Daphnia pulex: one gene and its partner. The protein of the gene in region 2 interacts with the protein of the main gene of each other region in a biochemical or structural test. Links are inferred from orthologs where the notes say so. Each region holds a gene or a part of one and is shown on either strand. Other genes may lie near its edges. The genes, in order: OTU domain-containing protein 5-B-like and E3 ubiquitin-protein ligase UBR5-like.

The links.
Region 1: the proteins of E3 ubiquitin-protein ligase UBR5-like (region 2) and OTU domain-containing protein 5-B-like form a complex in vitro, tested with the Homo sapiens proteins (2 studies listed by BioGRID, with this or other methods). The link is inferred for Daphnia pulex from reciprocal best matches to the Homo sapiens genes UBR5 and OTUD5.

What each region holds. Positions count from the first base shown.
Region 1 is NC_060018.1:2,562,590-2,569,790, reverse strand, and holds OTU domain-containing protein 5-B-like, read left to right. Parts: upstream 1-2,760; 5' UTR 2,761-2,911; coding exon 2,912-3,043; intron 3,044-3,343; coding exon 3,344-3,504; intron 3,505-3,569; coding exon 3,570-3,813; intron 3,814-3,875; coding exon 3,876-4,031; intron 4,032-4,101; coding exon 4,102-4,258; intron 4,259-4,324; coding exon 4,325-5,005; intron 5,006-5,068; coding exon 5,069-5,304; 3' UTR 5,305-6,163; downstream 6,164-7,201. Other genes in the region: uncharacterized protein LOC124208638, read left to right, coding at 1-124, 185-590; zinc transporter ZIP1-like, read right to left, coding at 945-2,072. UniProt on the Homo sapiens protein: Deubiquitinating enzyme that functions as a negative regulator of the innate immune system. Has peptidase activity towards 'Lys-48'- and 'Lys-63'-linked polyubiquitin chains. Can also cleave 'Lys-11'-linked ubiquitin chains (in vitro).
Region 2 is NC_060021.1:11,106,266-11,112,873, forward strand, and holds part of E3 ubiquitin-protein ligase UBR5-like, read right to left. Parts: coding exon 6,184-6,608; intron 6,117-6,183; coding exon 5,475-6,116; intron 5,405-5,474; coding exon 3,892-5,404; intron 3,827-3,891; coding exon 2,631-3,826; intron 2,556-2,630; coding exon 1,762-2,555; intron 1,688-1,761; coding exon 1,300-1,687; intron 1,221-1,299; coding exon 1-1,220. UniProt on the Homo sapiens protein: E3 ubiquitin-protein ligase involved in different protein quality control pathways in the cytoplasm and nucleus. Mainly acts as a ubiquitin chain elongator that extends pre-ubiquitinated substrates.

The DNA of each region.
Region 1 (7,201 bases), on a different chromosome or scaffold from region 2:
AGAGTGAAAGCTATGTCAGCGAAGACAATTTGGAAAAAATAACGCCAACAAACACGTTGAATTGTGTCAGTGGGGGTGGAATGCAGTCCGGTTTAAATGACCAAATATTTGCCACTATTCACCGGTATTACTTATTTTCACATTTACGTTAGTTCTATAACATTCTGTCAAATCTTCCTTTTAGCATGTACAAGCAATTCATTTCGCCGAAAAGCAGCAGTTGTGATGCGTTAAGCAATTTGGCCGCTCTCGAACGCTATGCTTACTACGTCTTGCAGATGGTCGATGCTTGCGATCCTCTCATGCTCAAGAAAATCATAGCAAAAGTAGTGATTGACAAAAAGAAGACTATGGAACTCGAGAAAATAAAGCGAGATACAGCCCATCGGGAGGAGCGCGAACGTAAAGCGCAAGCTAATGCCACATCCGCCCCGGCCCAATTCAAAAGAATCACAGTCGTCAACCGCAACAGACTGCGGGGGGCCGTTCACTTTCCGAAACTCGGTAAAAAACCCAGCACTGAATCCCAAGAGGAAGTCGACATGGCTCCAATCGACGAACTTCTCTATCTTTTCCGAATGCAGTTGTGAGCGGTTTCCTCTTTGCAAGACTAGAATTCGTATACAGATTTTGTTTTTAAATGTTTGTGAATGTAGCTGTGTGCTTTCATCAAAACAGTTGCATCTTTTCGATTAAGTTTCTTTTTATTTCCGCCTTCCTCGTACTTTTCTTGATTGCACTTATTTTTAGATCTTATAACTCACAAGGCGACTAGTGTTCAAGAAACAAAAGCAAACAGCATGAAAAAATTTCAAGATTATCAAATTCAAAATTGGAGAACGCGTGGACAATAGTATCATGCCAGAGTCAACGAGGAGTAAAAGAAAAACAGAGAGAGTATGTAAACAAATGAAGATCATCACGAAAGAACGAATTTTGCGGATTTAATGGTGCGATCCCATTGTAATGGTCACAAGCGCCATTGCTATAAATCCAAGGAAATGGAATGCAACTTTAACCATTCTGTCTTTCGAACTAGCAAGTTCGGCCGGAATAAGTTCGAGGAATGTGACGTGAATGAATATCCCAGCTGCAAGAGATTGAAATATTGCAGAAGCGACAGATCCACCAGTACCGGGAGCTTGTTGAACGACCAGTCCAAGACAAATCCCCAAAGGGACAGCCAGTGAGAAGATGAGAATATATTTGACTCCTTGTTGGAGAGTCAATTGCTGTCTTGCCATTGTGATACCAACTGAAAAGGCGATGAGGGCTTCATGAAACACGATCGCGAAAAACAGGTGAAAGATTTTCATTTGTTCTGTCTGCAAGCCCAAGGCCATTCCTTCAAATAATGAGTGAATGCTAATAGCCATGTACAGCAGAGTTAGGCGTAGGGTTCCCCCAGATTTGTTCTTGAGAATTCTTTCTACTTGATGGTGGCTGCAGCCTTGGGCTGGTTCCAATTGAAGAACTTTTTTAGGACTAGGTGCTTCATCGCTATCTTCTTCCTTAAAGGTGACCATAGGAACATTTTGATAAATCCTGGGGATGTTGATTTCCTTTAGAATCGAAGGACTCTCTGGTGAGACTGCTTCTAATGCTTTTTTGCCAAGCAGTTCTTCTGAAGCACTTTCATCTCTGACTGTGTTATAATAATTCAGTTTACTTGATCTATCAGTTTCGTCAAAAGCCATTGGGACTTCCCAGTCTCCATTGGTCTTGTTCTTTGAATTTTGGCATTGAAGAATGAGCTGTTCGACTGACATGATAAGGAAAAATCCTAAAATGCATGTGAATTCAGCAACAGGAAAATCAGTTGTTATATTAAGGTCTGCAAGCACTTTCCTCGTCTTGTCTTGCGCATAAGGAAGTAGTCCTAGAAAGCACATTGCGATGAAGACTCCACCAGCCATGGAATTACAGAATGAAATTATTCTTTCTGTACCACGACTAAAGTTGCAGTCCTTGGTAGATTTCTTGGCTACAATGCAGACTGGAATCAAAGCACAAATTGCCATAACAATGTACACAATCAAAGCAGTGACAACCAGCAGTACTTGGCTATCCATGTTGACTGCCACTATGCTTGGATGTGTCTGATGGACTGATGCAACTGTTTACTCTTTTAGAATTTTTCGTTTAGTAATTTTCAGCGTTCGCACAGGCCAGATGCCACTGACTCTACTCACTGTCCCTTCGCGTTATTATAAAACTCAAAACTACTTGAGACAAGGGCACTTACTGCGCCTTGAGCGAAATATTAACTCGAGCTCGGTCAACACCCTCTGTCGGTCGATTTGTATTTATTTTTATTTTTTTTGTGCTTTACATCTTCTGCTCGTTTTCTTACTTCATGCTAGAAGGAACCTACGACAGGTTCTACAATAATGCTACAATAATTAATTCACCTACCTGAAAGGTATATGCAGGGTGATTTTATTCCTTCCTGGCAGAAGTTATGCAATGTTTCACTTAAAAAGTAAAATTCCAGACACACGATCAAAACGAAGTCAATGTCACAATACTGGCAGAGCAGACAGAATGTTCGTATACAATTAACATCCTTGGTTGCCTTCTTCGAGCAAAAATTCGGAAATTGAAAAATACATATTAGCTAGAAGCTAGCTAAAAAATATTTTTCAACACAATTTTGCAAACATGAAAAATTATGTTTTTTATTCATAGCATCACTCCGAAAATTCATTCCATTGAAAATTTGAAACATTTTGAAACTCTATGTTTTCGCTTATTCATCGACATGGCAACCTCTAAATAATTTAGACAGAAAAATAGACACGGCCATCTTTCAGTGGAAAATTTGTCTTTTTCGTTGAATAGATAAAAGAAATCGTCGAAGAGTACATTTCAAGGGCGTTTCGGTAAAGAGAGTGATCTTTGCACAAGCATCATGACAATTCTGCCGAAAAAGAAGTCATCTCAATCACGGTCGGAATCCGAAAGTAATACTGATGGATCTCCCCTACAACACCTCTCAGTTGGGAGCAATAATCACCTTTCACACATTGGACCAGTACCACAGGTAAAAAAATTATTTTTATAAATATACCCCAGTATTTAAACAGCCTTTGGAAGAAATTATGGCTGGAAGTTTCAGTGCATCTTCTAATTGACATCTGAAACAACCACACAAAATGGCCGGTCCAGCTACAACCAGTACTTATGTACAAGAAGCAAATGGTGCTTTGTTCATTACACCCTTGCCATTTAGGCAGTGCTCAATGAATAAAAGCAAATAGTATTGATAACTATTATTGACAAAGATGACAAAAAGTCAGCATTGTTGATTCTTATTAAAATGTATTTTACATAAATTTTACAGGTAGCAGAAACTTGCAGTGTGTCTAGGCTGTCTGGAAGAACATCATCAAGCCATCCCCACAGCCACGGACACAGCAGCCAGTCATCATCTCGCTATGAAGATTATGACCTGGAGAGTGGTCCTAGTCAAACAAAAAGAAGAATGAGAGTCAGTCCCCATAGGTATTTAATCTCAGTTATTATTTTGTTGCATTGAAATTTGACAGGCATATTTTTTTTTTATTTAGAGCTGTCCGCCCCAAGCACAGAGATAGGAATTCATCAACCTCTGCCATACCTAGTACTAGTTCAGCCATGCACAGTGTTGCCTCTTCATCCAGCTCAGGAAGTTCTCCCACACCAAGCCATACAGTACCAGATCCTTCTTCCCATGAAGATGAATCAGGAAGTGGATATAACAGTGGAGATGAATATGGACCTGCAAGATCTTCATCTTCTAATGTCCCCATTTCTGAAGAAGAATGGGAACAGGTATGTTTCCTAAGACAGAAGTGTTATTCATAGAACTCCATCAATGCCAATATGATTATTAGAAGGAAAGATGGTTTGAGAAAAAGATGCGGAAACGAGGTTTTATTATTAAGCGGATGGGTGAAGACGGAGCCTGCTTGTTTCGTGCCGTTTCTGATCAAATCTACGGTGATCAAGAAATGCACTCAATGGTTCGCAAACATTGTATGGACTATATTGTAAGTAATTGTCCTGTTGTATTTTTATGAATTTGAAACATTACGTCTATATTTATATTTGTCATAAAAGGACGCAAACGGAGACTACTTTTCACAGTATATGACTGAAGACTTTGCCGCCTATGTGAGTAGAAAAAGATTGGAAAATGTACATGGCAATCACATTGAGATGCAGGCTATGAGCGAAATGTACAACAGACATATTGAAGTATTTTGCTACAGCGTCGGTAAGCCCTTATCATTTCGATAAAATTCGCTAAATAGAAGGCTTACTTAAATTTAACCCATTACAGAGCCGATCAATATTTTCCATGGTAAACATCAGACTGATGACGAACCTATTCGATTGTCTTATCATCGTGGAGTGCACTACAACAGTTTGGTTGATCCGTACAAAGCCACTGTGGGAGTAGGACTGGGATTGCCAGGATTTGTCCCTGGTCAAGCAGACAAGAAATTAATGGGTGATGCCATGCGACAAAGTGAAGAGACCTTAATTGAAAAAGCCATGTTAGAAGATAAAGTTAAAGCCACAGATTGGGAGGCAACAAATGAAGCTATTGAAGAGCAAGTTGCCCGTGAAAGTTACCTCGACTGGCTTAGAGAAAACGAGCGACGCAGTCGACAGCAGCAACGGTCCGGTCATTCGGCAACCACTTCCTCGAATGCCTGCGAGCTCCGTTCCCCAAGAACAACAGCAACGACGTCCTCTTCAGCTCGTAATTCGCCCAAACCATCTTTTGTTGAACACCAGCGGAAGTCTCCAAATGCTTCACCGAGAGCGTCCACTTCACGCAGCGCCACAACCTCTAGTAGTCGTGAAGGTGCATCAACTAGCCCTATCGCGTCACCGGCCGCTGGTACTTCAAGTTCAAACCCAGTGAACACCAGTAAACCCGATTGGGGATTGGGGCCAGGCTTTGAATTGGCTGAAACGGCTTCATTCCTGGGACAGTTGCCTCCTGACATGTTTGGTAACTGACGTTTATATCAACAGATATTTTCAGTTTAATTTTATGCTTTAAAATTGGCTAAAGGTTTAGCAGACTGGGAGGATGCTGGACTTTTGGCTCAAGTGCTGGCTGCATCGCAACAAGAGTATCTGGACAAGTTGAAAAAGAGCAGGGAAGCCATCGACCCTCACGACGACGAGACGATGGATAACACCAAACAGCAGCAAGAGGAGCAGCCGGTTGAACAGAGCAGTCGCGACAGTATGACGACAGATCCAACCAACGACCTGACCAGTGCGAACGGGACTAACAATAGTTAACCCAGACTCCTCAGTTGTTTTGTCTACGTGTTAGCTTTCCTTTTTTTTTCCCCCCGTCAGTGGCAGGGAGCTCAAGAGGCGTGTATCAGGGGAGGAGTCAGAAGAAAGTCCTTTCCATGCAAAATTGTTAATCTTTGATTCTCGGTCTAAATTTAGACTCGCAATGACGTCTGACTGACACAATTGGATTGAACTTGCCTGTACCCCCGTCTCCTCCACTGCCGATTCTCGCAAACTGGCTGCCAAATCATGTAAAAAAAATTCATCCGCGTTCAAAGTCCAGTGAAGCGAGAAAGGGAGAAATCACTTAAAAAAAAAAAAAAAAAAAATGAGGATTGTAATAATTCGTTACACAGCTTTTCTGTCAAAATAGCCGCGGATGCTCCTCTTGCCCTCCTGGTGCCTTTGAATATCTTTCGTCGTGGTTTTCTCCATTTCGTTTTGCGGATGCTGGAACTAACTAACGTCTCCCCGTACCTTGGCAGCAGCTGATGTGATGGCCATAACTCGCACTCTTTTTTCTCGTTTGTCACGTTCTTTTGTTTTTGTTTTCGTTTAGCTTTTTCTACTAGTTGTAGGATAGAAACACGTCAAGCTATTCCGTCTGTTGAAAGCTAAATCATATGTTTTCTTGTATCACTGACCTCTTGTGCTTTTCGTGTGTATTTGTTTTAAATCCCTCTCTTCCCTATTCTGCTCTTGACACTCTTGGTTGATGTCAGAAAAGGTCAATGGCTTTCTTCTCTTTATCTCTCGCCCGTATATTGCAGATATAAATCTATTTGATGATGACGAAAAATTTAAGAAAATGAGAGACAAAAAATAAGCTTTATGCAAATAAATTAAGAAAACAAACAGACTGCCGGTATTGTAATCAAGGCGAGGATGTGCGTACATTTGTGTATTAGAAGAGAGAAACTCAATGCAGTAAACTATTTGATGAATATGTGGAGCAGCGCGCTTGCGGAAAATAACGTGGCCCGATTTTCTTTTTTTCATAAAGGCGGCCATGCTCATGGTCAGCGCAACGAGAAAAGAATTCTATATATTTTTTGGGCCAGAGAGGGCAGGAAATTCAGCCCGCTTTTGGCTAGAAAATGCGGTTGCAATGGAATATAGGGGAAACTGTATAGACTGGGTTCAGCTCGCTTCTGATTGGTGACTTGCTCGTTGACGTCACAGATCGGCCATATTGAAAAAAGCCAACACCAGGGGGCCACGAAGGCGCAGTGGCGCCCTCGACGGTCAGACAAGAGAATTTCCAGTCTTTTATGTGTGGCCTGCAGAGTGTGGTGTGTCTGTGATTTCGGCGTTTGGGTCCGGTCGACGACACTTCTCCCACCCTGAAAACAAAAAAAAACTGTAGAGTGTGTGTGTGTGTGAGTGTGTGGTGGGGCCAAAGAAGGAATTTCTCGTGCAGCACTGAAAAAAGTCCGACATTTTGAGTTTCCTAACGCCTTGGTTCTTAGTCTCTTCAGTTTTAACCTCGTCGACCAAAAGGACCCAAAATTAGTTATTTGTGTGTCGACTCTGAAGGTAAAGAAACGCCACACAGAATTTTGTGTGTAGGATGCTTCGTTTGGGAAAATCTACGGGCTGTATGGGTTCTCTTTGTGTGTGTCTGTGTTTGGAGGGTGGAATGGATTCCCAACTAGTCAGGGCCATGGTGAGGGGGTGGGGAGGGGGGAACGAAATAATATGGGGGAGGGGTGGAGGGGACCAGACACAAAAAATACCCCCTCTAGAAAAAAGGGAGATGGGAAGGGGGATAGAAAAACATGGCGGGTGAAATTCTAGATATATATTATTTTTAAAGAAAGGCTAGGCCCTTCTGTACCCTACGGGGTTTTCTATGCTGTTTGTGGTCTCGAGATGGTCAATTGTTTCAAGTGTGGAC
Region 2 (6,608 bases):
GACTGAGAAGCTTTTGATCCAGCTCCAACTTGGGCAGCGTCCAGATTTGGCAATTTTTCTTGCGAGAGAATGGCTTCAGCAATGGCTGTATAGAAGCTGCGGGCTACTCCAGATCCTTCGCCTGGCTCGTCTTTGAACGTCACTTTAACTCTACTAACGGCCAATGGAGGTTGCGTGGCCGTTGCACGTCTGCAATGGGTGTTGTATTGCGTATTGAGTTCCTTGAATGTCTGCGTAATGAGCATTCCGCGTTCACGATCCATTTTAAACAGTGTCAAGTCACGCTGCTGCATGTTCCTCAGGCGCTCCATTTCGCGACGGAAACGAGCTTCTTTGACTGGGAATCCACCGAGCTCAGCAATGACCGATCCAGCTTCCGTTCCGACATCGTCAATAAAAACGCGACCAAACAAGTCTAATGTCAATCTCCAGCGCCCCAACAGCAAATCGCTTGAAATTAACTGGCTCACATTCGGAGTGGAATTTTTACCCATCCAAAAGCTAGAAGCGGATGGTGCCGTTTCTTCCGTTTTCTCTCTCGGTACGGTAGACGGAGTACTGCCTGCGGTACTTGTGCCTGCAGGGGCATTGTCTCTCACAGTGCCAGTCCGAACGATAACGCTCTGAGCAGTGGCAGCAGCCCGTCGGGGTGACACAATGACGCTGCTGGCCACACTTGGACTGACACGGGCTACTTCAATCACTTCAGCGAATTCCGAATCTTTCAAAGACAAATTCTGAGGAGTTTCCTGGATGACTTCAGAAGTTGAATGAAGTGGAGGAAGTGTTGGTTGTTGTGGATTCAATGGGGTCGCCACTAGAGGGGGAACTGGAGCTTGAGCTGGATCCGTTTGTACCTCCGGTGTCCTTGTAGACAGTCCTAAACGAGTAGGTATAACTTCAAGAGGATTGGTCGAGCCAGGTGGATGATTTCCTGATGGCTGGATCGTGATGGGTTGGCGAGGAGCGCCAAAAAGTTCTTCGCGGCGAGCAGATGGTTGCAGAAGATGCGGTTGGTCCGCCAGAGGCAACGCTTCAATCATCGGTAGAGCAAACGGATCCGGCTGTGGGCATCCCAAACACAACGTCGACTCGGAGCGACGGAAGAATGGATGCTTGCGACCACTTTGCCGGACTACAGCTTCTTCTTCGCCACCAACAGATTCAGTGTCCATGGCTCCCCCGGTTTCTTCATCCATATCAGCATTTTCGTTTTCGTCCTATAAATCCCATTTTGTAATTTTAGAAAATGTGAAAAAAAAACTACAATGAATTCATTAAGACTCAATGTTATCTTACCGGTTCGTTGAACATGTCAGCGATGTACTCTTCACCACTACCATTATCACCGTACGGGTTGGATTCATTTCCCGACCGCATGTAATAAATAAGGGCATCGAACACATAGGCAATGTGCTTCAATGACGAGACGTCAATAACGGGCAGGGTGTCGGAATGCTCGCCATTGTGAGCCCGCATAAGTGAAAGGCAGTAATTCAAAAATTCGCGCCTTCCCGTCAAGGGATCCGGCACTTCGTTGCCCCGTTCTCCGCCAGCACCACCAGCCTGTCCTCTACGGCCGTCGTAAGTTCCAGGTGCAGCTCCCGAACCAGCCAGTGCAGAGGCTGCCGAACTTGAAGATGCGGCCGTTCGAGAGGAAGGTAAAACTGAACTAGCAGTAACCATTCTAACCAAAGTAAAATGAATTAGATACTCATAAATCGGAACGGGGGGGGGGGGGAAATAAAAAAAAATCAATACCTTGACAGCGGTGTTCTTCCATACAAAGTAATATGGTTTGAAGGTGTTCCGTTCGGTGTAGAAGCGTTGGATAAAGCTACTCCAAAGCGTAGCTGAGCTTCGGTCGAGTCCATGACGTTGACCAGCCAATCCCAGACTGGCTTCAACCTGAATTCCAAAAATTGTTGCAGCTGAATGGACTCTTGGTTGGTGATGTCCAAATTTCGCGAAAGGGTGGGAGCAAGTGCCGGATAATCCAAAAGCATCGTGAGCAGGTCTGCAATCTGACGAACGACCAGTCCAAAAGCCCGAGCTAATCCGCTTGCTGTAGTAGCCATGGAAAAGGGTTCCGGTACCACGGGAAGTGTAGCTGTGGCGGCGGCAATTGCAGCAGCAGCCGCAGATCGGCGAAGAGAAGTAGGTTCTAAGTACATCAAATTGGTGGTTGAACCACCGACAGCGTTTCCACTACCGACGGCCCCATTGGCGCCAGCGCCACGTACGGCATTGTTCTCTCGATGGCGAATGGCCCACATCATCGATTGCGGAGCCATGCCAGAGGTACCACGGACAGGGGCAGCAGCAGTGGCGGGTACGGCGGACGAAGGGTTATTATTGCGGCGTTCCAGTTGTTCGTCTGAGAACGCAAATTCCTCCGTATCTTGTTCGTCCGTTTCACCACCGTCCGATTCATCCTCTTCTTGACCAGTTGAATCGCCAGATTCATCATCAGAGAATAACGCCAAGGATGCCATGGCCGCATCGGAACCGGCTGTAGCTCCTGTCTGCACACTACGTTGGACCGAATTGTTGTCCTACAAATATTCAAACAAAGTAATACAAAATTTAATGAAAAAAATCCGTTCATTGCTCAACTTTTAAACACCTACCTGAGTGTGAGTGCTCTGATTATCGTTATCATGTTCGTGCTCGTTGTCATCCGAGTCGCTTTCGGTCTCTGCTAGGAGGTCCAGCTCCATATCCGATTCACCACCAGCATTTTCTCGTCGACCAGTTCCATCACCGCCGCGACCATTGCCTTCGGCATCTTCGTGTTCTGAATTGTCCGCTTCAGCATCGCCGTCACCTTCTCCATCGCCTTCATCACCTTCGATGGTGTCTAGTTCTTCAGACTCCATACGGCGAGTGGTGGCACGACCACCACCTGCAGCGCTGGAACCAGCACCGAGCGATCCAGTTGGTACAGAAGAGCCGTCCGCGTGTTCTTCGTCGGCTGCTCGGGGTGTTAGCGGTTGTAAGGGATCGACGGAAAAGAGTTCCTCGCTTCCATGAATGGCGTCGGCGTTGGAAGTCACCAACGGAAATGGGACAGTTGGACGGGCGACACCTAACCGGACGGGTACGATCAGGGCATCAGCTGCTTCGCACAGTTCTTCAATGGCCAGATTAATAAGAGCCTGGAATACTCGCTTGCATTTCATCAACGGCTGTGAAGTAACACTGGCACTGGAAGCATTATTCTTCTTCTTTCCAGACTGAGGAGCGATCTCAACGCTAAAAACGACAAAGACCCGGACGACCGAGCGCACGAATCGCCTAGCAGCAAGACGAGCTTCCTGTTGTCTCGACCACCAAGTCTTGTTCTCCATTTCAGCGATGAGCGTAGTCAAAAGGCTGTCCAGCATTTCAACCGAACATTTGACTAACATGCAGTGAGTAAATTTGTCCAATAAAGTAGTCCCACTTTGGCTTTGAAGATATGCTTGATCTTCGGCGATGGTACTGGAACCGGCAACTGTTTCCTCTTTGTAGCCAGAGAGCAACATGGCTTTAACTGATGACCAATCATTCAAAAGTCTATCCAATGCCATTCGGGAGAATCTCGGTGGTTCTAGATCGTGTTCAGGCATATCTGGTTCCAGTTCAGATGTTAAAACTTTTCTCGAAGCGGCGATTCCAGTTGATCGGGAACGGGCGGGTCTGTACTGTCGTTGTTCAGCCGACTGACGACCGACTGTCTGTACAAGGAAAAGCAGTATGTTCTCTCCTTTACTATTGGGTATGTTCACCAGATCCGTCTCGTGGACCAAGCGGCAGAGTAATTCGAATCGAAGTTTTTGATTGCCTACAAATCAAGATATAGAGTTAATAATCAAAGACTTTAGTAGAAATAACATTGAAATGAATTACCGGCAACCAAAGCCTTGCATTTACACTTTTCCCAGCAGTCACAATAAGCGGTGGGCGATGTGCGCTTGAGCTTGCAATCGTGACCCTTGTGACATACGCGGGCGCACTCGGTACAACAGCAAAGGGATCCCGTAAGGCCGCATGTTCGGCATTCAAAGATATCCTGATTAATGTGTTCGGCTCCGGTCCAAGTGAAGCTGCACGTGTCGTTGCTACAGAGAACATGGAGCGGTGAGTCATCCGGGCTGCAGCCATTCTTGCCCAATGGAAAAATGAAACTCTGCAACAGCTTTTTCTGAGCGTCCACTTCCGTTGTAATCTGTCGAAATAATCTAGTGGCCACATCTAGCAAAAGTAATGCTGCGGGGTAGGCACGAACGGCAACCGCTTGCATGAACGGTGTGTGACCTTGAGCGTCACGCGCGGAAAGGAGTGTCTGTAGATGAGGGGTCAGAGCTGGACTCTCGGTGATGGCCTTCAACGCGGCCAAGGAATTGGCACGTCGTTCAACAGGGTCGGAAACGGCAGCAGCCGCCATTTTGGAGGAGCCACATGCGCCGGCACTGCTCGAGCCAGCTTGATCGTCATCGCCGTGATTGGACGATTCCAAAGACATCGGTTCCGGTGGCCAATTGAGCGTCGGAATAGAAATGTTTTCTTCGACTACGGAACTACTACTGGGAACTCCCGAATCGGCTGTGGAACTTTCCGATGGTCGAGCAACAGCAGCACGCCTCATCATCTCTCTGAGACTTACAGCCCGGGAGGAAGTGCTCAAACCCACCGGAAGGGGATCTAGAGGATCAGCGATGGAGTTGGCGACGGGTGCTACATTTCGCTCGTCTTGAACGTCCGCATCTTTGTTTGAAGTTGGTGAGCACATGGATACGCAGGCGTGGATTACGTTTCGACCACCATCACAGCGTTCGTTGACGATACTCTGGACGCCGGAAAGGCGATAGGCTTCTGAAGACGTTTCTAAGCAGTTCATGACGTGGCGAACGCCATCGATATCGCAGGCCAGCAACTTGGGCATTAATAATTGATTTTCGGTGACGAGTACGAGTAATATGGCTTGAGTCTTCTGTCCAGGACCAACCCCTTGCAGAGAATGGGAACCGAAACCCAGGCAGCGCATTGGTGGCAAATCCAGCAAATGCGGATCACGAATAGAATCGAGACAGTCACGTGACAAAGGGTAGATTGTGCCATTTCCATCACGGAGCAGAGTCAAGGCGTCACCATCTCCTGTATTGAAGAGTCCAATGTTTCGTCCGACGTTGAGGCCCATGAACGAGGTATAGTCCGTTGGTATATTCGATTCATACTCGGCTTTTCCCGTGCTCAGATTGTAGATTGTGTACTTGAGCTGAGAGCCAACTTTGTTGACCGTGTGAATACCTTGTCCGTCTACTGAGAAGGCTAAAATCTGTCCGGGATCGGCCAACGTCACTCGTCGCGGGAGTCTTTGGAAACAATCAGGGATCCGGATGGATGAGCCCGATTTTACCACCTAAATAGAGAAAGAGTAACATTAGATTAGGGAAATTTCGTGGATTCAAATATTCACAATCGTCACTCACCTGCAATTCGTCTTTACGCAATAAACGGCAATCTTGTAGAAGCGAAGCAGGATCTTCGCTGCCGCTATTTGCCGGCACAACTAAATCTTTAGCTTCCTTGCCGCTGTAATCCTTGTTAGACGGAAAACGAACAGCAGCGTAGGCGCCGTCCACCTTGAGGACGCGGCCAATGGGCACATTCTTAACATCTTCGATGAAAATGACATCTTTTAACACCCATTCCTCTTCGTCGCCACGTTTGTCTTCGCTATCGCCGCGCGGAGCTGGTCTCTTGTGTTTCTTTTGTGAGCCTCCTGCTACGCTCCCCGTTTCGCTGCAAGTGCTGCTGGCTGGCGATGGAGGAGGAGGCATGTCAGGTTTTTCGACAACCGCCTCACGAGTGCTCGATGTTTTAGAGGTTTCGGCGTTGCTACTGCTGCTACTTCCACTTGCAGCATTGCCACGTTTGCTGTCACTACTACCTCCGGGTGGAAGAGGTGGAGCTAGGCGGACCAAGGGAGGGGGTCCTGGGACGATACGGAATCGACAAGTATCAGTCCAGCTCCATGCTGAACCTTGCAGCTGACCGACTTTCGGCACACCATCGATGATTGAGAATCCAATGGCTCCAGCTTGATACATGGGACTACTTCTCATACACACCTGAAGAATAAAATCAACCATAAGCTTTAAAAAATGATAACAAAGAAATAGCTATTTCGTTATTTACCTGTGCGCCAGTAACGATATCGGAACCGGAAGCTGAGCTGCTGTGGCTCTTCTTAGCTTTGGTTCGGTATTTGTCCCAAAGTTTACGGCGTTGGCCTGGTGGCAATACGCCCCACCAATAAATGGCTCCATTTTCTAGTCGAACAGCCGAGTAGAGTGAACAGGTGTCGAGTGAAACGATTTTTTCGCCGTGAAATTCAGAGGGGTGCTGGGCAGCATGTTCAAGTCTTGTGATACCGGGAACGTGAGCTACAGTTTCATCTAACCAGCTGGCTACTTTTCCCGATTCCGTTACCACAGTGCACCGTATGACGGATGCCGACAGCAGTACAATTTTTTCAGCATAGAGCCCCAGTGTAAGAGCTCGTGGGTGATGAGCGTGAGGGAAATCCAGGTGACGATAAGGCTCCGCGTCAGTCCATTTCC